Drosophila melanogaster: one gene and its partners. The gene in region 1 interacts genetically with each later gene. Each region holds a gene or a part of one and is shown on either strand. Other genes may lie near its edges. The genes, in order: Tsc1, Akt, nero and S6k.

Region 1 (6,755 bases):
TTCTCCTGGCGCAGTGACTCCTCTAGCCGTTCGCACTTGCTTTGTTGCTTCTCCTGCAGGATCTTTAGGTCCTTAATGGTCTGGATGAAGGTATCGTGGAGGGCCACAGGATGAAAGTCCTCGCTGTTCTGGAGTTCATTGTTGGTGCGCCAAGTCAGACGCTCTATGAACTCGCCCACCTCAAAGGGTTCCTGTTGGTTATGATTAATAAATATAAGCCATAATCGGGCCTACGTGACCTTTGAGCCCACCTGTTCAAACTCCTCCATGTATTGGGATAGCATTTTAATGTATTATTAAGTTTTCGTATTTAAATGATCTGATTTAATAGGCGTTTCTTTTCTGCTTCTTCTTTCTATATTATTGTTGCTTCCGCTCAGCTGTTTCGTTTAAGGTTGCCACACTTCTCACTTTCTTTCAGCTGGCAATGTCGCTCGGTTTGTTTACGTTTTTGTTTGCTCTCTTAGCTAAAATTTAAATGTTTGGCGGTTGTTATATAACAAATAGTATGTTTACAATTAAATAAAATAAAACAATGCTTTTATGTTTGCTGATCTTAATCAAATGTTTATTATAATATGAATGCGCGTCTTACTTATTGCCTCGTATCAAAACCACTTTTTTACAACAAATTGCAATGTGCTAAACAAGTTAAAATTTCAAACATTAATATTTTTTATAACCTTTATAATTATTGCGTGGAGTCAGCGATTTATTAAACCTTAGTTACAGTTTTGAACTGAATATGAAAATATGAAGAACCAATAACTTTTTTTTGTAAATTTTCTGTGCGGGTTTTCCCAATAGACATTTGTTTAGCGAAGGAAAGCTAGTTCTTATTTGTTTTTACAAACTGCGTCTGCTGCTACTACTGCAGTTGATCCTGTTGCTGTTGCTGCAGGTGCAGGTGCGGATGCGGATGTGGGTGGGTGAGCGTGTGACCGATGCCGCCGGAGGTCGACGGCAAGTCCAAGGCGTGCGGCACGATGTTGATGGCACTGGCGGTGCTTGCCGAGGAGGCCAGATCCACGGCCGGCGGACGCACTTCGTCCTCGAACTGAGCGCCACCGGCCATGCTGTTCAGCACATCCGGAATAGTGGGCGTGTCCACTAGCTGGTGCAGGTTCTTCAGCTCCGTGGAGCGTAGGCTGGCGGATAAGCTCTCGCTCGAGGCCAGCGACGTGGATAGCGGTGAGTTGCGTTCAATGGATGAAGCTATGTCTGTGGGAGAATGCAATAGTAAGTATTCTTTAGCTGCGAAGCAGCTCTTGCACTCACCAGTTCTGTCCGTGTCCGGGGAACAGGTGTTATGACCTGTTGTTCCTTGCGGCTGCTGCATCATCATCATCAGCTTCTCCTCCATCTGCATAATTATCTTCTTTTGCACGTCATACTTCTTGTTCACGGACTGCAAGGACGACGATTTTTAAGGCTTATTACTCTTAATTGAAATGAAGTTACTGGTAAACACAGACTATTTCTTAAAAGTCCGAACTATTTCAGATAAGTATACGATTTTAAATATCAGCCCTACCTTAAACTTTTCTTCGTACTCATCCTTGACGGTGCTTAGAAGTCGCTTTTGCTCCGTCATGGCCTTCTCGCTGTTGGCTAGCTGGGCCTGCAGGTCGCTGATCTTGTGCTTCATGCTTTCCAGCTGTGATGTCTTCTCGTCCAGGCTGTGCCTCAGATCTTAATAAATAAACTGAATGATTAAACATCCGTATCATATAAACAATGAATAGGCACCCTTCAGTTCCAGGTTGCTGCTCTCTTGTAGCATCTGCAGTTCCTCGTCGCGGGCCCTGAAGTTATCGATCTCAGCCAGACGGTCGCGGCAACGCACTTGCACCTCACCCATGATAATAAACTCGGCCTCCAGTCGTGCCAGCTCCTGCTTGCACTGCAGCCCAATGTCCGCCTGCTGCTGGGTGTGTTGAAGCTCGGTTCCCAAACTGAAGACCTGACCTCGCAGAGACTCCAGTTCATAGTTCATCTCCTTGTGGCGCGCCAACTCGCTGGTGAGTCGCGTCTGCAGGTCATCGTTTGCCTGCCGCAGGCACTTCTTTTCCTCCAGTTCGTGCTGGTACTTAGCCCTCATTTCGCCCAGCTCCTCCTGGTGGATGTTCTGGCGCTCGTTGGCCAACCGAATGGCCTGATCCATTTTGTTTGCCAGATCCTTGTTCTTCGCATCGAAGTTCTTAAGCTGCTCCCTTAACCGATCCCGCTCCATTTCCAGGCTGCGCTTGTCCCTGCTTCGCCCCATGAGTCGTCGATTGCGCTCTGCGTGAATGGATCGACGGTAGCTTTCGTATTCCAGCTGTAGGCACATCAGTTGACCCTGCTCGGCGTCAAAGGACTCATTGGCCTTGATCGCATGCTTAATGTATTCGTCTAGAATATCTTGCGGGTACAGAAGGTTCCTTTCATAGTCGATTCTTTGCTCCTTGCACTCCAGCAGGAGTTCAATAAGCCAATTCTCGTACTGCGCTGGAGCACTGTCCAGTCCTTCCACCGTCTGGGTGGAGGCATGGGTGCAGCTTCTAGCCGTATCCTTGGGCGCCGAAATGGCCAGGTTCCGGCCGCTCCTCTGCAGGCGGCTGCCAGTCTTTTGCGTATTTCCATTCTCCCCTCTTTGTCTTTGGCTCGAACAATCGGCCTCGTCATCATTCTCCTCCAGATGCTGCTGCCGCATTCCGGAAAGGGCCGAGCAGGATTTGGTTCGTCGCATTGGGTTCTCTGCCTCAGTACTCCAACTTGCCTTCTTTGCCGCCGAACTTCTGCTGTCCGCACAGGAACCATTTCCACTGTAGCTTGCCATACGATTGCGGCGCTTCTTTGCCAGCTGGTGCATGGATCGGCTGGTGGGCATATGAAGTCCACCCACACTGCAGAGGTTCCTATCCGTCTCGTTGCACTCGCCACAAACTGCAGCGACCTCCTGCGTGACAGATGGATAGACGGAACCACCAACAAGGGATAAATCGGAGTTAATTTCTGGCAGGCTGCTTGGACAAGGTGTGTTTACAGATCGCTCCACGTTATGCCTGTCCTGGATGACCTGCGACAGGCGACGGTCATAGGCAGTTCCTCTGTTGACCTCCAGATATGAGTGGCTGCTCTCCTCCGCCTCGCGAGAGACATCCGGGAAACTGAACTGACTCTGCTGGTCCTTGCGCATGGGTGAAGAAGGCTGGCTTACGGCGAAGATAGCTCTCACAGCATGCGAATTGACCGCACGTCCCGGCTGCTTGATATCCCTCATATCCTTTAAGGGGGTGGTTTCCGGTGTGGCCTCCACAGCTGCTTCGGGCGGTGAGGAGCCAGTCATGCCAACCATAAGCTGAGAGTTCATAGCCGGTTGTAGTGGCAAAATAAACGATGTGGTGGGTGTAAGCGGTATGCCGCTACTGGTCGTGGCAATCTCGTTATGCGGACTCCAGATCGGACCCACATCATCACCCGAGGCAAACGAATCGAAGCGGGTGTAGACATTTCTCGATTGCTGAAACTCCCTCAGCTGATAGCTGTAGTCCGTATTCGAGGTATTTGAAGTCATGCGACTGTATCCTGGCGTCATGGGATACGCATAGCTGCCGTCTTCGTTGCTCGTCTCGGGCAAGAGGACGGGCAGCGATAGGTTGGCGCACTCCATAACCACGTCATGCGGCTCCATCTCCTTCCATCGCGTATTGTTTACCTCAGTCTCTGGCGTGGCCGTCACCAGCATGGGATGCACTCGCACAGTGTTCAACAGCGGCTTGATTGTATGCTGGAAGATGCCCCCGCCGTTGCCTCGCTTGATGAACTCCACTAAATAGGCAATAAAGCTGCACGGATACATGCCGTACAGGCGGTGAAATAGCATCTGTAGACCCAACTGCAGGTGGACGAGCTTCTCGTCCGGCAGTTTATTGCTATTCTGCAGCTTCCACGAGGCCAAATGCCCGAACACCTCAAACAGATCGTTAAGAAAGTTGGGCACAGAATTCGGTATGATCGGCAGCAGAGTAATTATGCACAACAGGGCGCTCATCAGCGGAACTATCTCCTTCTCGTGCTGTCAGAGAAATGGAAGTGATGCTGAACTCGGACAAAATTGTAAACACCCATAAACTCACCGTCATAAGCTTAAAAACACTTTTGATCAGCCGGTGTTTCTCGATCTTGTACAGCCAAGTAGGGTGATGGCGCACAATGAAGCAGAACACCTGGAGGCTCTGCACTCGGTGCTGCGACTGCTTTAGGCAGTCGTCCAGCTTGTCAAAGATGTACCCATCGTGAGGTGCCTGGGCTTTGACCAGTACCTCCAAAATGCGCTGAGATCCAGTTGTAAAGAAGTAGTCCAGCATGAACTTTACCACCCACTGCTCCTTGTCTGTGGGGAAATGGTATGTTGGAATAGGTGGCATATTAACTGAAACTGGCGAGGACTCACTCTGGGATAGCAACTCCACAAGCTTGCGCTTGGCCTCCTCGTTCTCCAGCGTCATGTTGGACTCCAGGTCACCAATGATCTTCTCAATCACCATGACGGCGGCTTTATTGGTTTCCTGTCGCTATGATTGATTTTTCCGCCCGCCCTCGGTCGACTGTTCCTGCTCCTGCTACTCCGCTCCTGGTCCTTCTACTCCACTCACTCGTCGTCGTGGTTGTCTTTTGCAGAGCTGCGTGTGCTTTTTCTCGTCTTGGTCGCTGTGAACTGGAGAACAAGGGTTGGCATTGAAATTCCCACTGCGTTCGATGCACTGCACTATTGTTTCGGTTGTGGAGTGCACATTTAAAATGCTTACCTCTGCTAAACTCATATTTTTTTACATGTTTGTCTTGAAAATGAAAAGGTTATTTTTTTGTGATATTCCTCTTGCGCTGTTATCGCCAGCCAATCGATGGTTTTGTCTGGCAACGCCGCTGGCGAATGTCCGGCAGCTTTGGCCGCAATCAAAACAACATCAGCTGTTTTGGCGCAACTTTTTGCCAATTCCGGTGCGAATGTTATAATCGATGTAAAATAATGCATTACTCAATAATCCGAAAACTGGTAACGGCGCCAAAGCTAGCCAACGTTCCCAAAAGGTAATTATGTGAATTAATATTATAAGGATTCATTCCAACGCTCTGAATTTCAGGAAATGGAAAAGCGTTGTGGGTTTGGAGGTGCACGCACAGATTGCCAGTGCGTCCAAACTGTTTTCCGGCAGTGGCACATCCTTTGGAGCACCACTTAACTCTTCGGTGGCGTATTTTGATGCCTCCATACCGGGAACATTGCCAGTGAGAATAGGTACTCTCACTTAAGACGCCATCATTACATTGTATCCTCTGCTTTTAGGTTCTCAACAGAAAATGTGTGGAATCCGGCATTAAGACATCACTTGCTTTGGGATGTCGGGTGAACGAAGTGTCCATGTTTGACCGCAAGCACTACTTCTATGCAGATTTGCCTGTAAGATTCAAATTTCAGTTTACACCACGCTAAGCCTTATAAGTAATAAACTTCTCCTCCCCAGAATGGCTACCAAATCACGCAGCAGCGCGCCGCTTTGGCCAATGATGGAAAAATGACTTTCCCCGTGATAACACCAGGCAAAAAAGTTTACTACAAGACCGCCAAACTACTGCAGTTGCAATTGGAACAGGATAGTGGTAAATCTCTGCACGATGATTATCTCAAAAGGAGCCTGGTTGACCTTAATCGTGCTGGACTTCCTCTAATGGAGCTGGTTTTTGCACCAGATTTAGAAACGGGCGAAGAAGCGGCATCGCTGGTCAAGGAATTAATACTGATACTAAGGCGTCTGCAGACATGCAGTTGTAAAATGGAAGGTGAGTCAAAAGGGATTTGTGTGCCTTTTTTTAAACCGAGTATTTTTTATTGTAGAGGGCGCCCTGCGTGTGGATGCCAACATATCCATTCACCAAGAAGGCGATCCCTTGGGAGTCCGCACCGAAGTAAAAAACATTGGCTCGGTTCGAAGCATTTCGCAAGCAATTACGTATGAAATTAATAGACAGCTAGAAACTGTGGCTAATGGCGGTGTAATTACAAATGAGACTCGCAACTGGGATGCGGAGAACCGGCGCACAGTGGCCATGCGTGACAAAGAGGTGCTGCAGGACTACAGATTCATGCCGGAGCCGAATCTACCACCCCTTCATGTAAACCTAAAGCCTGGATCAATGTCAACAGAGGATTTACTTTCAGTGGCTGCTCTAAGCGAGGAAATTCCAGAATTACCAGAGGACACCAGGCAACGTTTGGTGGAGCAGCACAACCTGAATGCGGAAACTGCCATCATTTTAGTGGTGCGTGCTCTGATCCTTTTTGAGTCAACAAAAAATTTGAAATTGCAACACTCCTCGATTTTATTTCAGAACGAACCTATTCTGCTGGATCATTTCTTGAGCATTACCCGTAGTTTAAGTGATTTGCCCAACAAAGTCATTTGCAATTTTCTTATAAACGATTTGTTGACCTATTGCAACAAATTGAACTTAGATGTGGAGGATTGGTAATAATAGGGAGTAACATACCTAATGAATTTTACTAATTTATTGTGTTCATCCTAATGTAGCTCCATTAAGGCTGATGATTTGAAAGATATATTAATGAGCTTGCATGCCGAGCTGATAAATCTCCAGGCAGCACGTCAGCTGGTTGATCTGCTTCATAATAACCCCAAAGCGAAAGTCAGTGAGGTAAGCTTCGCCTAATATTCCAAATTTATGAGATTACACACATTATCTTCCCATCA
Region 2 (7,687 bases), 8.0 Mb from region 1:
CAGTTCGTGTAAGTTTTTGTTTTTTTTTTTTTAATCGAAACCAAAAATTGTCTCACACAACTCAGTAAACTTAGACAACTATTTTGAAAGGTCTCTTTCGTCCCCTTCGACGGGTAGAAAATGCTTCGATTTGGGATACCAGAGATGTTGACGTTCACTAAGGCTAGTATTCAATTTGCTTCGGATGTCCCTAACCGATTTCTAAGTCTTTGCTTTAGATTTCTAGCTGGTTGCCCCTTGGCTGGCAGACTTGCCTAACGAGTCTGTCAGAAGGGTTATTGGGCTTGTTGAAGTCGATTCTCGGGTTGTATGTCTATTAAGCCATGCTTAGGGGTTCTATATTTTGTCTATGTATTGCTTGATCGATCTGAGATTGATATTGGCTAGCCTAGATGTCAGCCGCAAACTTGGTGAGCAGAAAGCAAGGACTTTAAGCTGTTCAAGGATATAAAGATTGGTTCAATCGGAGCTATCTGATATCTCTCCTCAGCATAGGCTGGCTTTAGCTAGTTAGTTCGTTCCTAGTCATGATTTGGAACCATCATCGTCACATGTCCAAGACTCCAACCGAAACATCCCGACTTGCTGGCTCCTCAATTCTCGGTTCTCCTCGAGTTCCACCTAACTTCGCCGCTTCTTTGGCATTTTCTTTTCGTTTCTATATCCCTTCGTTTTCGATTTGCTGTTTATTGTAATCATCGAGTGATAGGTTTCGTTTAACATTTAGAAGAGAGATTATGCTTTCAATTTCTTTGTTTTCAGTTGAAATTCCCGAACTTGATTTTATTTAATAATTTTTATTTACAATATTTATTTTGTTTTCTTTACGAAATATAAAATAACTTTTTGTTTCGTTTTATTCTTGATTTTTGTTTTTATTGCGCATATAAAAATATCAAAAATTCTTTATTTTCTTTTAGGTTTTTTTTCTGTTTATATAATTTTTAATCTTCCTTTTGGAACTATTTGTAAGTCTGTTGTGGTTGATTTATATATATTTTTTGCTGACTTGCTCTAAGTATACAAAACTTGTTATGAACTTTTCAATGCCAAAAATGAAATGACAAAGATACATTTTTTATTGTGTCAAAGGTTAAACCTTTTCTGTGGCCTCAAATGGTGACTTCCATTTTCCACACGACACATACATCCTTTGTTTTTTTTTTGCATTTACTCTTGAGTTTTTGCTTTTTTTTTATAAATATTTACAAATATATATTTTTCGTAAAAAATTATAATAAAAAATGGCGTCAATTGTAATCATTTTGCTGTTGCCGTTATTGTTTCGAAATATGTTTCTGCCTGAATATAACTTTTAGTTGCTTGCTAATTATTGGCGCCTATAAACTGCATTGATGTATGTTTCCCTCGTTTATTAACTATTAGTTTGTTTGTTTCTGTTGTTGTAGTTTTGCATAAAGCACAGCACATTAGAGGCAATTTTAACATTATATATAACTTGTAATTGTTTCTGTTTCTTTTTTGCTTCTTTGGAGTATAAATAATTTATATATACGAGTGTTGCATGTGGGGGCGGTTGTTGAATATGTGTATTTCGATTTGTTGCTGTCAAGTTAACTAAACTTCATGTTCGCTATATGCTAAGTGGCTGTGTGAGTGCTGTCTGCGTGAATAATCTGTATAATCAATCAGCTTAAGCGACCCCTAGAGGATGCGATCCGATGATGCATGCTTTATCCTAGCACTAAGTCGCTCTAAGTCGCTTGGTTAAATGTTTTCCTTGCGTTTAAAATTAACTAATCACTTCAAGCGCTATGCCCCAAGTGTTATATTTAGTTGTATATATAATTATATATATATATATATATATATTTATATATATGTGTATAATCATATGTAGTAAATTATTTTCCTCGGCTTCGGCTGTTGCCCTTTCGTTCAACGTTCCCTTTCTCATTATACAAAAATAAGTTACTATCAATTCAATTCTCTTATTATTGGTGTATATAAACTAGCAAGAAAACCCTTTGCTTGCCTTCGTTATCATGGTATAATTAATATTTAATATATTCTTGCTGTTGTTTTCTTTTGCCCATTTCTATGTGTTATAGGTATAGTATAGTAATAGGTGATGAAGCAGAACATGATGTGTGCTGGTAAAAGTTTGTAAACTTGTTCTATTGCATCGATGCGAGACTTGTGGAAGTACTAATGTGCGACGAGGTGCCCAACGTGGAGGCCATGTCTCCTTGGTAGCTGAACTGTGGCGGTGAAACCAAAAATTGGATGAGCATACAGAACCCCACTTTAAATGTTTTCAACTAGATCTTACCTGCGGGAAAAGCGGCTCTTCGGCTATGGAGCCCAACGGGCCAGTGGGATCCGGCGGCGTCAACTCCACACTCTCTCCCGTAAACTCCTTGTCGAAGTACCTTGTATCCGTATCGGATGTCACCTGAGGCTTGAAAGGCGGCGGTATCTACGGTAAGCATTTTAAATTCGATTAATATATACGAATAGGTAACTGACAGATTTACTGTGCCCTACTTTTTTCAACACTAGATCTGTCCAGTTAATACTCGCAAAGAATGGATGTGCTTGTATCTCCTTGACATCATCCTTTCCACCTCCCAAACGCTTTTTGGGATCCTTAGCTAGAAGGCCTGCTAACAGATTTTTCGCCTCATCTGTGATATTACGCGGGAATTTTACCTCCTCCACCAAAATCAATGTAAAGAGCACATCATGATCACGATTGTAAAACGGAAGACGACCACAGATCTGTAAGGAATTATTTTTGTTTTTAATACTTGTTAATAGTATTTGCAGATGCAACAAACTCACCATCTCGTACATGACCACGCCAGTGCCCCACCAGTCCACCGCTTGGCCATAATCATTGTCATCTAATACTTCCGGAGCTAGGTATTCCGGTGTACCGCAGAAGGTTTTCGTTGTGCGGCCGTAGGTGATGTCCTCCTTGCACAGACCGAAGTCTGCGACCTTTATGTGACCATCTTTGTCCAGCAAAAGATTTTCCAGCTTTAAGTCGCGATAAATTATGCCCTGTGAATGCAGATAGCCCAGAGCAGAAATGATCTCTGCCCCATAGAAACGTGTTCGATCCTCAGTAAATATGCGTTCGTGGCTTAAATGCCAAAAGAGCTCGCCACCGTTCACGTACTGCATCACAAAACACAGGCGGTCGTTGGTTTGAAACGAATATTTGAGTGACTGCAAAACAGGGAAGACATATATTAGTTTTTTAACGTAAATTATATATTACTAGCAATACTTACAATGAGGAACGGATGATTTGTGGACTTGAGCACACGACTCTCGGTCAGGGTATGGGCCACCTCGTCCTTTTGGATAATAACTTCCTTTTTAAGAATTTTGATCGCGTACAGCTTGGCGGTAGCCTTCTCGCGACACAAAATAACCTTACCAAAGGTGCCCTTGCCGAGCACCTTGAGGAACTCAAAATTCTCCAAAGTCTACAAGGAGATAAGATGGAGTCAGCTCGATCACGCCCTTGGTCAATGACCAGGTGAGTGGTACTTACCACTTTCTTAACGCCGCTGCTATTACAAGTCGTTCCCTGTACGGAGAACTGCTCGGAAAGCTCGTCCTCGGCAATGGTGGCCATGTCCACGTCTGTCATGTCTGTCTGTTCAGATGGCGTCATAGCCACCTCACCCACATCTATGAGCCGGCTGGATACGTTGCGAATGGCCTCCGTCCACTGCTGGCGCTCTAATTCTGATTCGACGGCAAATGTCCTTTCGATTACCGTGGTCCATTGCAGGCCGCGGATGATGAAGGTGAATGGCTTGGGCCGATCGACGGTCATGATCTGGCAGCCGCGCACCGTAAAGTTGTTGAGCAGGAAGTCCGATGGCGTGCTGGCACTATCTGCCGGCTTGCTGCGGTAACCCATCAGTCTTCCATCGGAGTGGAGCACGAAGTAGCGCTGGCGCCAGTTCTTTATGTGCTCGCCCCTCTTCATCAGCCACCCCTCCTTTACGACCTGAGTCTGTTCCGTAAGCGCATGACCCGATGTAACGCTGGGCGAGCTGAGGTCGAAAGTTGTGTTTATTGACATGGTTCCGGAATCGTGTGTAGGGGCCGCGGAGGTCCTGCTTGGCCAGGATTGCTGCCAGCTGAATTTCTCTGCACTGCCGCTGGTGGGGCTGCTGTTTGGATGGGTGGATTGGCTGTAGATGATGTTAATGATGTTGCTCCCTGTGGTGGTGGGCGATTCCGGGATCCTAGAGGCAGATCCTGGCGCTGGGGCGCTGGCAACCACAGTCGATCGCCGCTGAAGAACAAACGGTAGGTAATTCGTGTTGAGGCTGTTTCACTAACCCTAGGGACAAGCTAATGAGGGACCTGTAAGAGGAGTACAGTGAATCCTTTATATTCATGCTGAGTTTGAAATACTTAAACTAAGAATGCGATCGACGAAAAGAAAAAGGCTTTAGCAGAGGGTTCGTCTAGTAACACCTTTACCTTCAGGGATTCAACATGTACTAGATATTAACTGATCCGCCAACTGTCGACATAAACTAGTCAAAGTGGACAAATGGAGTTCCCAAATGAGCTAGCTATCAAAAAAGGGGAAACAGACACTAAAAGGCTGCCAAGTCTATCCAGATATATACTTCCCACATCGCCTATCTCACGCTGATAGTAAACAATTGTTATTGTCATTTTGCATGTTTATGACAAATGCAGTTGGCGCTTGCGTCAGCAGCTGGTGCAAAACATTTGCGGCATTTCCGTCGCCAGAAAGGGATTGAATTGGATTGAGGACTGTGATTCTGATTGTATCGAATTGGATGGGTTGGTATGGTGTGGCATGGTATGGGATTGGATTCTTAGTCACTGGCCCACATGCAGATGTAGGCGCCATCGTCGCCTTGTTGTTGCTGCCACTTTCGGCTTCAAACGAAATTCCCCGCCATGTTACGCAGCGACACGGCGATACGAGTGAAAATTGTTCGCGATTGCATTTAGCGCGAAATTAAATCAAAACAAGTCGACGGCGGCGACTGTTCATGAACTTATGTATATGCATATATAATACATACATATACATATGTACACATACAGGGGACTCGCAGGCGGCACTCGCACTCGTACTCGCACTCACACTGGCACAACTGCAAAAGCAAAAGCATATTCATTTACAATTTGCGAAAATGTCAACGACGGATGGCCGCCGGCTGTACAAATGTCGCTATCTATCTAAAACTGTAAACAAATGTACATAAAATAAAAATCGACAAAATACACACACAGGCATAAGCGGACAGGCGCTCGCACACCGAGGCAGTCACACAGACAGGGCTGCATTGCAAAGTGCGAGTGAGGCCAGACTGTGGGTGCGAGGGGGAGGGAGACAGACAGTACGCGTGTCTGCCACAAAGGTGTATGAGTGTGAGTGTATGTGTGAGTGTCTGGCCGTGTGCGTGTGATTGTCTGGCCGTGTGGGTGTGAGTGGCTGAGTGAGTGAACCACCGAGTGTGCGAGTGTGTGTGGGCAGCGGCGACCTAGCAGCGCAACATGTCAAATCACTTCGTGGAAATGGAAATTGTGGAAATGCTGGTGAAAAATACAAGAACCCACCTAGTTTTGTAAAAAAAAAAACCCGACTTTTGCTTTCCCTACTGCACTGCGGTTTGTTTTCCTACTCGTTTTGGTATTTTCCTTTAGATGGTGACGGCAGCGACAACGTCACAGGCCTTCTTATTATTGTGCGTGTGTTGTTGTTGCTGCTTGCTATTGTTGTTGTTGCTGCTGCTGCTGTAGTTGTTGTTGTGTTAAGGTGCCAGACACCAGAGGACGGAACGAAACACACACAATCTCGCACTCGCGCACTGGAAGTCGATTTCCGCCACCCGGGCGTTTCCACTTGGTGTTTTCTTGCCTTCCAAAGCAACGTTGCATCAATTGCAAATGCTTAAAAACGTAGTTTTCATAAACAGAAGCACGCACACAGGCAAAGTAAATTTTCCAAGTACCGTTTAGTTTTTACGCTTCACTTTTTTTCGATAACTGGCTCGATAACTGATTCGATCCGCGTTGCCACCTGTTTTAGCGATAGTTAGGCGACTGTTACGGTGGAAAGATGCCAGAGAGAGACATTATTTAAGAGCTGTACAACGCGCAAATATCCCTTAAATTTAAATTAAATGTTTTAGAAGGCAATAGTTCTGTTTTCTGACTGTCTAGGCCGACTCTTTAACTAGAATTCACTTCAAATTTGAATGTATGAACTGCAGATTAATAATAATGCTGTATTGTTATTAAATTCATTTTTAAAAACTTTATTTTATATGCTATGTATACAAAACTATTTCTTATATCGACAAATTGTTATAACTTTTCAAAGCATAATTGATCAAAAATTTGGAAGCCCTATCAATTTTATATATGGTTCCTGTCCGCACTAAGTAGATACTCTGATAAGTATGACCATGTGTAAGTAGCTAGAAAAAGTCAGTTCTCTTTTCCAGTTTCCCAGATCAAATTTGATATTCACCTCTTTGGGCACTCTTGCTCAGATTTGTTTATGCAGAACGCGAAGTCTCCTTTGAATCCGAAAAAAAAACAAAAAACGAGTAGCGAATAAAGTGCCCCATTGGCACAAAACGAGGTAAATAACTTGCAACCCAATCGGAAGGGAGAACATAGCATGCCACTTTCAAATAAACAAATAACGACTCCAGCGCGACTGTGTGTGCGTGAGTCCCTCCCAATGTTTGTGTGTGTTATCAAAAAAGGCGTAGAAAAGTGCAAAAACAAAGGTGTTATTGACTCTCAACTTTCTTTTTCTGCCTATCGTGTGTATCACTGTGGGCTGTGGCCGAATAAGAGCGTTCGCCGAATATGAGCAATTGGAAAAGCATGAGCATAAGTAATGAGGCAGAATCGGTTGCATTCAATTAGTTGGAGAAATGAAAAATATGAAGAGATGGTGTAGAGAGAAGGGAAGAGTGCAGTCTCGAGCAATCAATACCAACGCAGCCACGAGCCCCCCTTTCTTTGTGTGTGTGTGTGTTACCGTGTGAAAACAAAACAAATGTATGCTAGCTGTGGAAAAGAAAGCGCATAATTGAATAATAAATAATAACAGAAACAGGGCAAATGGCAACGACTCAATGACAAAAGTAAAGCCGCCACCGCAGCAGAAGAAATGTGGGTGCAAAAGTGAAGAAATATGCCATTGTTTATGTGATTTGCAAATGTGCACATTCACACAAACACCGTGGCAAGATAACGGTTGTTGTGCGGGCGGGTGCATTGCTCGAAGTGGCTGTGCAATTGTAAGAGCGAGATAGCAATACGAAGAGAACAGGACTGAGCAGTACAGGGGCGAAATCCAGGGGACCTTAAACGTGGATTATGGGCACCTTAAATGTTTTTGTAAAATCAAATCACATAAATACCGTACTTTAAACTATTCAGTGAATTAAAATTGTGTTACTGATTTTAAAAATGTAAGTTGTAATTTCAAGTTTGGAAATGAACGGTATGCCCTGCACGTTTGTCTAGATCCACCCCTGGATAGAGCGCAGCAAAGAGAACAGTGCAAATCGAATTAGTCCAGACTTTTGGTCACGCCCTTGAACTTCGCATTAACCCACCAACGCCCCCCTTCCGCAGCTAGCACCTAAGGACCCCACACACCACATAAGATGTTCAACTTTATGAAGAAGAG
Region 3 (3,514 bases), 7.6 Mb from region 1:
TTACAGAAAAGAATGCCAAAATTGTGCCGAGCATCAGGAGCTTCATGTGTTCGCCGTTGCAAAAAAATCCCGAATACGAAATGCCGGCAAGGTGAATTGTGGGAAATCGTCAAGTGGTCACACTGGGCAGCCAGCCGCGTTCTTGAGTTTTTGTTTTTGTTGGGCGATTTAAAGGATAGGAAAATACTTGTTATTTAAATTCCAAAGCGGAAATTTGAGTGCATTGCTAAAGTATTCATATTTTTTTCAGTTTATAACCGCTCAAATGGGGCTGCCATGTCGCCTTGTACTTTGAATTTCAGAATGTATTCTGAATGCATTTCATCGAATAATTTAAAGCAAAAATAACGAAAACTCAATAGTATTATTTTTAATTACTAGACACATTAAAACATTTAAAAAAAAACAAAGAGTTGCCCACAGTTGATGATAAAATGCCCGTCAAACTAGGATAGTTACTAGGCACTCATTAGCATCAGCATTCCCACCAGTTGATTCATCCATCCAGCAGGTTAATCAAAAACCACAGGGAAGTCACGTTCAAATTTCTTTTTATGTCTCGATAAGATTAGGTCCATGTGATCACAGAAGTGACAAAACAATACAAGTTTACGACTAATATATACACAGCTGGTAGATGCAAATGTTCGGCGAAAATCACTTGGTCGCGTCTAGTTTGGCTAGGCCGTCGGCATATTGGAACTCCGGACTGTTCTCGTACTCGCACATGTCCAGGGCGATGACGCAGCTCTCCTTGACCACGCGCTTGTCGTCCTCGGCGTAGCGGTTCAAGATCTGAATGCAGTCCTCTGTGGCGATGGCGCCAAGGGCCTCGGCACACTCGTGACGCACCATTTCGTTTTCCAGGCGATCCTCCAGATTCTCTTGAAGGAAGGGAATGCTGCAGGGTTCTTGCAGCTGGCCCAGTACGAAGGCCACCTCGTGGCGGAAGAGGGCGGAAGAGTCCTTAAGTCCCTCGGCAATGGCCAAGACACTCTCTTCGGTGCGCAGATTGCGCAGGCTGAACATGGCCCTATATCGATCGAACAGGCTCTGCTGGGCATCCAGATAGATGGCCTTCAGCTCGGTGACGCTCTTGTCGCCCGCAGTTGGCGGTGAGGGATCAACGGAGGCGTAAGGGTTGCTGTCATCTACCTTTTGGCCACTCTGCAGCCAGCGGACGCGGTCCAGAGCAATGGCACATGTTTCGGCCACCTCCACTACCGGATCTTGTTTGTACTCCTCCAGAATTGGCAGCACATCTGGATGACCAATGGCGCCCATGGCCTCCGCAGCCTCGTGGCGCACCATCGGCTCCTGGGTGGTGTCCTTTAGCACCTTGGTGAGGATGTCTAACGCCTGTGCGTCCTGCATCTGACCCAAGCAGTAGGCCAGCTCATGTTTGAGAAGGGCCGAATCATCGTCAAAGGCTTTGCTGATCGCCTCGATGGCCGCTCCTCCGCCGATGTTCTTCAGCGTGAAGAGGGCTCGAAAGCGCTCTTTCAGTGGGCGTTCCTTGTTGTTCAGAACGCCTCCAATGGCCTCGATTTGCTGCTGCGAAACCATTTGTATGCGGTGTGGACTTATAAATAAAAAACTGCAACGGGCCGCGTGTGGTGTCGCAATGTGGCCATACACTCAGTACTTGGTAATACCAAAACTACAAGTAATCGATATGACGTGGCTATCGATGGACTATGAGTCGATGAAACGGCGCTGCCAACGCGTTTAGAGTACAAATTGTGCAGCACTAGCAAGAAGCAGTTTAGTTACGTTTACTCCGTAGAAGCGCGATACAAAAAAGTCAATAAAAGGGTGAAAAGCGAACGTTCTAGACACAGAAAGTATTCAAAAATACTGACTCAGTCCTGGCGCAGCATCGGTGACCAAAAGAGCGGCTCTTCACGGTGAAAAGTTTCCGCAAAATCGGCATTTCTGAAAGTTGCGCGTTCACGGTATGCGAAGCGTGGCGTGTGTGTCGAGTTGAGTTACCTGTAATTGTGTGCGCCTGCGAGAGTGGAAGTGGAGTAAACCTCGCCACCGTTTTGAAGTTTTGGAAAGATATAGGGATAACCGCCCAGCGTTTATTTTAAACAATGTCGGAGGCAACTGTGGCCCAAAAGCCGGAGGCGGTGGAAGATGTGAATGCGTCGACGGGGGACGAGAAGCAGACTCCCGTAAGTAGCCGCACATACACATATTTAGCGACAATTAACATAGCACGGCGATAACGCACACCAACACGGGCTCCGCTTTGCTTTGCCCGAATTATCTGCGGTATTTTTCCAAAATAACTGTGTGTGTATATGGGCACTCGGATGTGGTGCATTTTCACCATTTCCCTTTGTGCGCTGTGTCCGTTTCTATTTACGTTTCTTTTTTCAACGGCTACCCTCGTGTGCGCGCGCTTTTTGCTTTTTCCTGTCCACTTTCCAACTCCCCCTTCCCCCGCCTGCTGAGGAAGCCAGCAGCATGTGTGCGTGTGTGTATACGTGTGTAGCTACTCGCCGAAGAAGAAGAGAAGAGGAGATGACGAGAGAAGCAGGGCAATCGGCGATTCCCTTTCAGGCTCACGTTTTGCCGCTGCCGCCGCGTCTCGTTTGTTTTTATTTTTGCTTGTTCCCTTTTCGACTTTTTGTTGTTTGCTGTACTTTGTCATACAAGGCGGCACGAACACTTGCATCCGCTCCGCGGTGTTGTGCATGTGTATGTATGCGATACGTTGCGCTCTAGATTCGGTTCCATTTTTTAGCGGCGACTTTACTAATAGATATACGTACGTACACATCGATGTCTAACTCAACTCCTCCGATCGACAGCTATTAATGTGGGGGTTCATTTGGGGTCTGTTGTGTGAATTCAGCTGCAAGCGGGTCGATGCGGGTGCAATTGCTGCGGTCACTTGGCCATGTCAACAATAGTACAGTGCGCACTTGGATTTAAACGCTTAATTATTGCCGATAAGAGTTTAAATATAAATACATGATTCTGTTTCTTCTATATAATTGTATTTTTGAGTCACTAATAAAGCGCCGTGGTTTCAGCCCATCTTGCACATGTTTTGGTGTTATAGGGAATGCACTTTTAACTACAATGTTTCATATGACGAAACATTAGTGAATCAGAAAAATATGGAATATCAGGTATATTAAAAAAATAAAAAAAAGGCGTAAAATAGCATCTTCATTCCCTCAAAGACAATTGCGTTTTGGCGGGAAATCAAACTTACAAAAGTAGCACTACTGCTTATGTATACTGAAATATAACTTACCGAACCCGATCTCTCCTCTATTACAGAAACGCACTCCCAAACGCCGCTCGTTCATTGAGCGGGCGCAGAAGGAAAGCGAGGAGCTTGTGCGAACAATGGGCGGAAGCCTGGAGCTGGCGGGCGGGCGGCGGACGCGGTCTAGCACTCGAGGAACGCCGACGCGAGCCGCCGAGGCAGTGACGCCGCCACCCAGCAAAAAGGCGCGCACTTCGCCGGCCTCGGCCACAAAGGCCAGTGCAGGAA
Region 4 (4,946 bases), on another chromosome or scaffold:
CCTAAATAGAGTACGGCATCAATTCGATCCTCTTCCAACGCGGAATTTACCCAGCCGAAGACTTTAACAACACGCAGCAGTATGGGCTAACCATTCTAATGTCCAAGGATCCCAAGATCAAGACCTTTCTGCAGAACGTGCTCAGCCAAACTGAAGGTTAGTGGTCTTTTGGAAAAAATTCAAGTTTATGGTGACCATTATTTGTATTCACCTATAGAATGGCTCTCGAAGAACATGATCAACAAGATCTCGATGGTCATTACGAACGCCCACACCAAGGAGGTGCTCGAGTGCTGGGACTTTAATATGCAGGCCGAGTTGGGCGATGGCGATATCAGTGATCCCACCAAGGCAACAACCACCAAGGAGCTGAGTCGCATACAGAACGAGATTCGCGACGTTATGCGGCAGATCTCGGCCACCGTGAGCTATTTGCCACTGCTCGATTGCATCTGCACCTTCGACATAATGATTCACACGCTGCAGAACACCGAATTACCGGCCAAATGGGACGAAACGGGTGCCATTGTCATACAGAATCCGCAGGCCGTCCAGCTGCGCTCCTTTTCTACAGGACTGCACAAGGTGGACACCGTGGTCAACTACAAGATGAGCACTTAAAAGGCAGTACCGCCTCATCCTAATGTTTAAATATTTATTTCGTTTCTATATTTACAATAGTGCGTAACGAACGTAACGTATTTGAGAGTTGCATTAAAAGCCAGTTGTGAAAAGCTAACAGTTGCTAAGTAGTAGTTTGGTTGGCCGCAGGGGTCGTCTATTTGTCTGTGTGTCTCAAATGCAATCTGGAGGACGAAACAGAGTGAGAGAGGGTAGCATTTGTTAGTGGAGCGCAACGCAGGAAAGGGCGTTTGTCTGGGCGACAGCTACCTATCCTAAGCAGCGCTTAGTCGTCAAGTCTGCGAGATAGACCCAAGTATCTAGTCTGTACCGAAGTATTTCTGGCCAAAGTGATTAGGTGCCACGGGATGCAGCTCGGAGGTGAGGATCTTCAGCTTGGGGAAGGCATTCACTACGGTCCGAGCGGCAATGGGTGTGCAGAAGAGATTGGACAGGATGATGCAGCTCTCGGGTACGCCGTGTTCCCGCAGCACATTCACCGCCTGCAGCACAGTGTTGCCCGTGGACATGATGGGGTACATGAGTAGCACCTGCCTGCTGCCGATGTCATCGGGAAAGCGGGCATAAACCACGCGGGCCTCATGCGTATTGGCATCGGACTCGACCAGGATCTTTCCAATGCGAATGGAGCGACAGCAGTCACGCAGTCCCTGCTCCATGGCCTCTCCCGATCGGATGATGGACACGCCGCAGTTGCCGGAGCGATACTTCAGTCCCTCGTAAATCGCACCGGTGGGCGTCTCCACATCGCAATGGGTGTAGGGCAGTTGGTTGAGCGACTCCTCGATGACCAGCCGGATGAGACGGTCGGCATAGAACTTGAAGTCACTGCGCGTGGTGTTCCTGGGGGGTAGAATTTTGTTGTACTGCTACTACGCTGCTGACTCCTCCTCCCCAACGTCACCTACTTGTCGCGCAATATGGTCAGCAGTTCGGCCACCTGGGAATTGCACTCGAGTAGCTTCAGGTTGCTGCCGTACTCCGCCAGGATCTCCTCCGATGTGGCAGCTGGCACCGCGGCATGTGCATGCGTGGGAGTGTGCAGCTGTTGCTCCTGCTCCTGGGCTTCCTGCTGCGGCTGCTGGTGATCTGAGGAACTGCTGCCCTCCTCCGACTGGGAGCCGCTGCTGCTGGGCGAGCCGGTGCGCATGACTCGGCTATTTGGTTGCTATCACTGGCTACATAAAATAAATAAATTAAAAGAATTGTACGTAGCACTTTGTCCTCCTAGCGCGTGCTTGGCTTGCTACGGCCACACTTTGTCGCGGCATTGCCGTTCGTTGCGCCTCGGTAATTTCTAGCAATTGGCAGTTAGCGCACGACTGGCCACACTCAGCAAATCACCTCGTGTTTCACTCGCAAACAAAGAAAAAAGTGCATTTTAATTACTGATTACTGCATTGCGATTAGGCGTTCGCGAACAACAACGTTTTCTTGCACATCAGCGGACTCAAAGGGCGCGCGTGGGCAAGGCATTGAGCACAGTGTCTGTGTGCGTGAGTGTGGGTGCGTTGTGCGTGCGTCGCAGTGTTGGTGCGTGTGCCCCCATGTGTGTGTGTATTTGTATTGCCATTAACTAATAAACAATAACCTTCGGGCCACGACGAAAGCCACGAAATCGGCACCGCTGCTGTTCTGTTCTGTACTGTTCCATCTGAACCAACCAGCTGAACAAGGAGACTCATAGCCAGAGACTAAAATAAATCGCCAACGCGCTTCCGCCCCCCCGCGAGAGGAGCGCCCAGTTCAGGAGCGGACCAGCGGCGATCCACTTCCCATATCCATATCCAAACAGAATCGCACTCGCCCAAACACACACACGCACGCAATGGCGGACGTGAGCGATCCCAGCGAACTGTTCGACCTGGAGCTGCACGACCTGGAACTGCAGGACGACAAGGCCAGGGACTCCGACGACGACAGGATCGAGCTGGACGATGTAAGATATAGCCCCCATTCCATGCCATCCCGTGCCAATGCGTGCCGCACCATCCCCCGATGCAAACTGCGCAGCAACAATTTCCCTCTTTGTTTACCTTTTCTGCGCTTTGTCTGCCAGTTTTCCTTTCGCTCGTCTGGGCATCCCGATTCCACACCCCCGAACCAGCATATCCACCAGCCGCACACCCTGCAAACTGGGCTTATCTGCTGCGCAAATGTCTGGCGTCATTCGGTTTCAGTCCAGTCGCCGATTATTCAGCGCATGTACATGCGCTCACTCATTGTACCATAAGTTCGACTCGATCAGAGAAAACCTCCTTACGAAACCACCTTCGATTGATATGGGCCAATCGAAGCCAGTGGTGGTGTCCTTCAAACTAATCAGCCCCAATTGCCCGCCACACTCCATGGCAGCCCCCTGCTTGCCACCGCCCCTGTCTCAGCTGATAATGCAACAACTGCAAAGGTGGTGTGCGAAGGAGAGGGAGGCCCAAAATGAACGCCGACTCGCTCGCACTCTCGCAAGTGTCTTAGCTTCCACTTAGAAAACGAAATTCCTTATCAGCGTGCCATATAAAATTAGAAAATGAGAAAAACCTCCACGCGCCGATAAGGGAGCACAACAAAATGGAAGGAAAAAGGGCAGGCAGGCAGGCAGGCGATTGAGATCGAAATCGAGCGATCGTCGAGCCAAACCGTCGTGTTTGGGGTGGTGGTGCTATACGGAACCAGTTGTAACTGCACCACAGTACACTGGAAAAGAATATTAGTTTCCATAGTATGTAGTCATTAAGTACCGAATTACTGATTACTAATTGTGCTAATGAGCGGTTCTTAAATTGATAAGTTTGTATTTAAACGCTTAAATTACTTCCCGTATTCAATACTAGTCGCAATAAATGCATTTTGGCTAAAGCAAGTTGCTAAAACTCTTAATTCGAATATTAAAAGTTCTAAATTGGCCTGAAATATATGTAATTTAGCAACAATGTGTGTACATATGCCGTCATCTTATGATGTCAATTGATTTATTTTTAGACAAATTGTGTAAAGTAATGGCTTAAAAGTACGAAAATAATCTACTAAAAAGGGAGAGAATAGCTCTTGGGTAATTATCATTTTTCTTTGTGTATTATTGGTTTTGTCTGCCCGGGGGAATTACATAGCTGGAGAAACCTTTTCGGTGTTGATAAGAACCTATCACTACCATATCGCACACCTTTTCCAAGACCTGTCGATTTACTTGATTTACGCAAGCGCGCACACCCCCTCCCTCCGCCCATCCACTGACTTTGTATGAACGCTATAAATTATGATGGATTTGTTAATTGAAATTCACCGCCAACGCTGACGAGGTGAACCAGTTTTTAATGTGCTGCGCGACGAGATGTCGAGATGCGGATTCCTATTCCGATGCCGCCATTCAATTGAACTTTAGTCAAAAATGTTCTATACAAATTTTAGGCATGACGAGAACGACGACGGCGGCTGCGGCTGCTGCTGATTCTTCTGAATCTGCCGCCCCTAACTGTGGCCTTCCTCCGATTGGAGCAGCCGCGTCCGAGGGGGCGGCAAATGGACCCGGAGGGGACGAGGAACAGCGCCAGCATCGCCGGCAGATTATTTGGCATTGTTCCGAGTTCTAAATTTAGTTTGTCATTAAGCGAAAGGTGTGTGTGCGTGTGCGGAAAGTGTACGAATGTACATCTGTGTGGATGCCACGCTCTTTCTCTCTGTGTAAATACCGAATAAGCTCCGTGTGGAGTAGTGGACAAATCGAAGGGTGGTGGAGAAACTCACTGGCTTCACATACTCCAAAGACGGATGCCATCCGAGATCCCAGAGCGAGCCCCTACTACTACTCCGATGCGATCTCTCCATTCATCGGAATCTCCCGCTGCTTAAAACGAAACTGAAAAGTGGGGCAGCACCGAATGGGGATTAAGCATGCAACAAGAAAAATAAAATATAACGATATACGATTTCCCATTTTAGAACTGATTCTTGAGCTATTTTTATTACTAAAAAAGCATATTAAAATTGTGGGCTACTAGCTTTAAGCAACCCACATATATATTACTGCTGGTATAGGCTGATTTTGAAGTATCTGTAAGATTTAGGGCCTCTTGTCTTCGTCGATGCCCGGTGCTGTGTAACTTTCCCTTCTGCTGTTTGCTCCCAAGTTCGCAATAACTATGATTAATTGTTGATTTTTTCGCATGTATACCGCTGGCAGTTATGCTCGCAAGTAGACGCCATCTCACTCACACGCCTCTCCGTCTCTCTTTCGCATTTGCAGGTTGACCTAGAACCGGAATTGTGTATTAATCTGCACCAAGAGTGAGTAATGCCAGTGCTATGCC

Evidence for each region.
Region 2: of Tsc1 (region 1) and Akt, changing one suppresses a phenotype caused by changing the other (phenotypic suppression), as found in Drosophila melanogaster (2 studies listed by BioGRID).
Region 3: of Tsc1 (region 1) and nero, changing one suppresses a phenotype caused by changing the other (phenotypic suppression), as found in Drosophila melanogaster (one study listed by BioGRID).
Region 4: of Tsc1 (region 1) and S6k, changing one suppresses a phenotype caused by changing the other (phenotypic suppression), as found in Drosophila melanogaster (one study listed by BioGRID).

The regions. Positions count from the first base shown.
Region 1 is NT_033777.3:24,128,443-24,135,197, reverse strand, and holds Tsc1 (Tsc1), read right to left. Parts: upstream 4,892-6,755; 5' UTR 4,794-4,891; intron 4,703-4,793; 5' UTR 4,533-4,702; coding exon 4,439-4,532; intron 4,379-4,438; coding exon 4,122-4,378; intron 4,061-4,121; coding exon 1,750-4,060; intron 1,693-1,749; coding exon 1,535-1,692; intron 1,409-1,534; coding exon 1,279-1,408; intron 1,222-1,278; coding exon 869-1,221; 3' UTR 544-868; downstream 1-543. Other genes in the region: Sec10 (secretory 10), read right to left, coding at 1-191, 252-284; GatB (Glutamyl-tRNA amidotransferase, subunit B), read left to right, coding at 5,015-5,076, 5,130-5,274, 5,333-5,446, 5,511-5,826, 5,882-6,306, 6,376-6,512, 6,576-6,699.
Region 2 is NT_033777.3:16,097,566-16,105,252, reverse strand, and holds the start of Akt (Akt kinase), read right to left. Parts: upstream 6,026-7,687; 5' UTR 5,593-6,025; intron 4,494-5,592; exon of another isoform or gene 4,474-4,493; intron 4,354-4,473; 5' UTR 4,310-4,353; coding exon of another isoform or gene 4,067-4,309; coding exon 3,527-4,066; intron 3,459-3,526; coding exon 3,261-3,458; intron 3,196-3,260; coding exon 2,806-3,195; intron 2,743-2,805; coding exon 2,509-2,742; intron 2,441-2,508; coding exon 2,294-2,440; intron 2,223-2,293; coding exon 2,139-2,222; 3' UTR 1-2,138. Other genes in the region: Mhcl (myosin heavy chain-like), read left to right, coding at 7,665-7,687. UniProt on the Drosophila melanogaster protein: Serine/threonine kinase involved in various developmental processes. During early embryogenesis, acts as a survival protein. During mid-embryogenesis, phosphorylates and activates trh, a transcription factor required for tracheal cell fate determination.
Region 3 is NT_033777.3:31,745,910-31,749,423, forward strand, and holds nero (nero), read right to left. Parts: upstream 1,650-3,514; 5' UTR 1,567-1,649; coding exon 658-1,566; 3' UTR 536-657; downstream 1-535. Other genes in the region: awd (abnormal wing discs), read right to left, coding at 1-34; CG1910 (uncharacterized protein), read left to right, coding at 2,097-2,177, 3,298-3,514. UniProt on the Drosophila melanogaster protein: Catalyzes the hydroxylation of the N(6)-(4-aminobutyl)-L-lysine intermediate to form hypusine, an essential post-translational modification only found in mature eIF-5A factor.
Region 4 is NT_037436.4:5,807,925-5,812,870, reverse strand, and holds the start of S6k (ribosomal protein S6 kinase), read left to right. Parts: upstream 1-1,939; 5' UTR 1,940-2,470; coding exon 2,471-2,581; intron 2,582-4,882; coding exon 4,883-4,923; intron 4,924-4,946. Other genes in the region: mad2, read left to right, coding at 10-156, 218-621; kri (krishah), read right to left, coding at 796-806, 953-1,485, 1,551-1,792.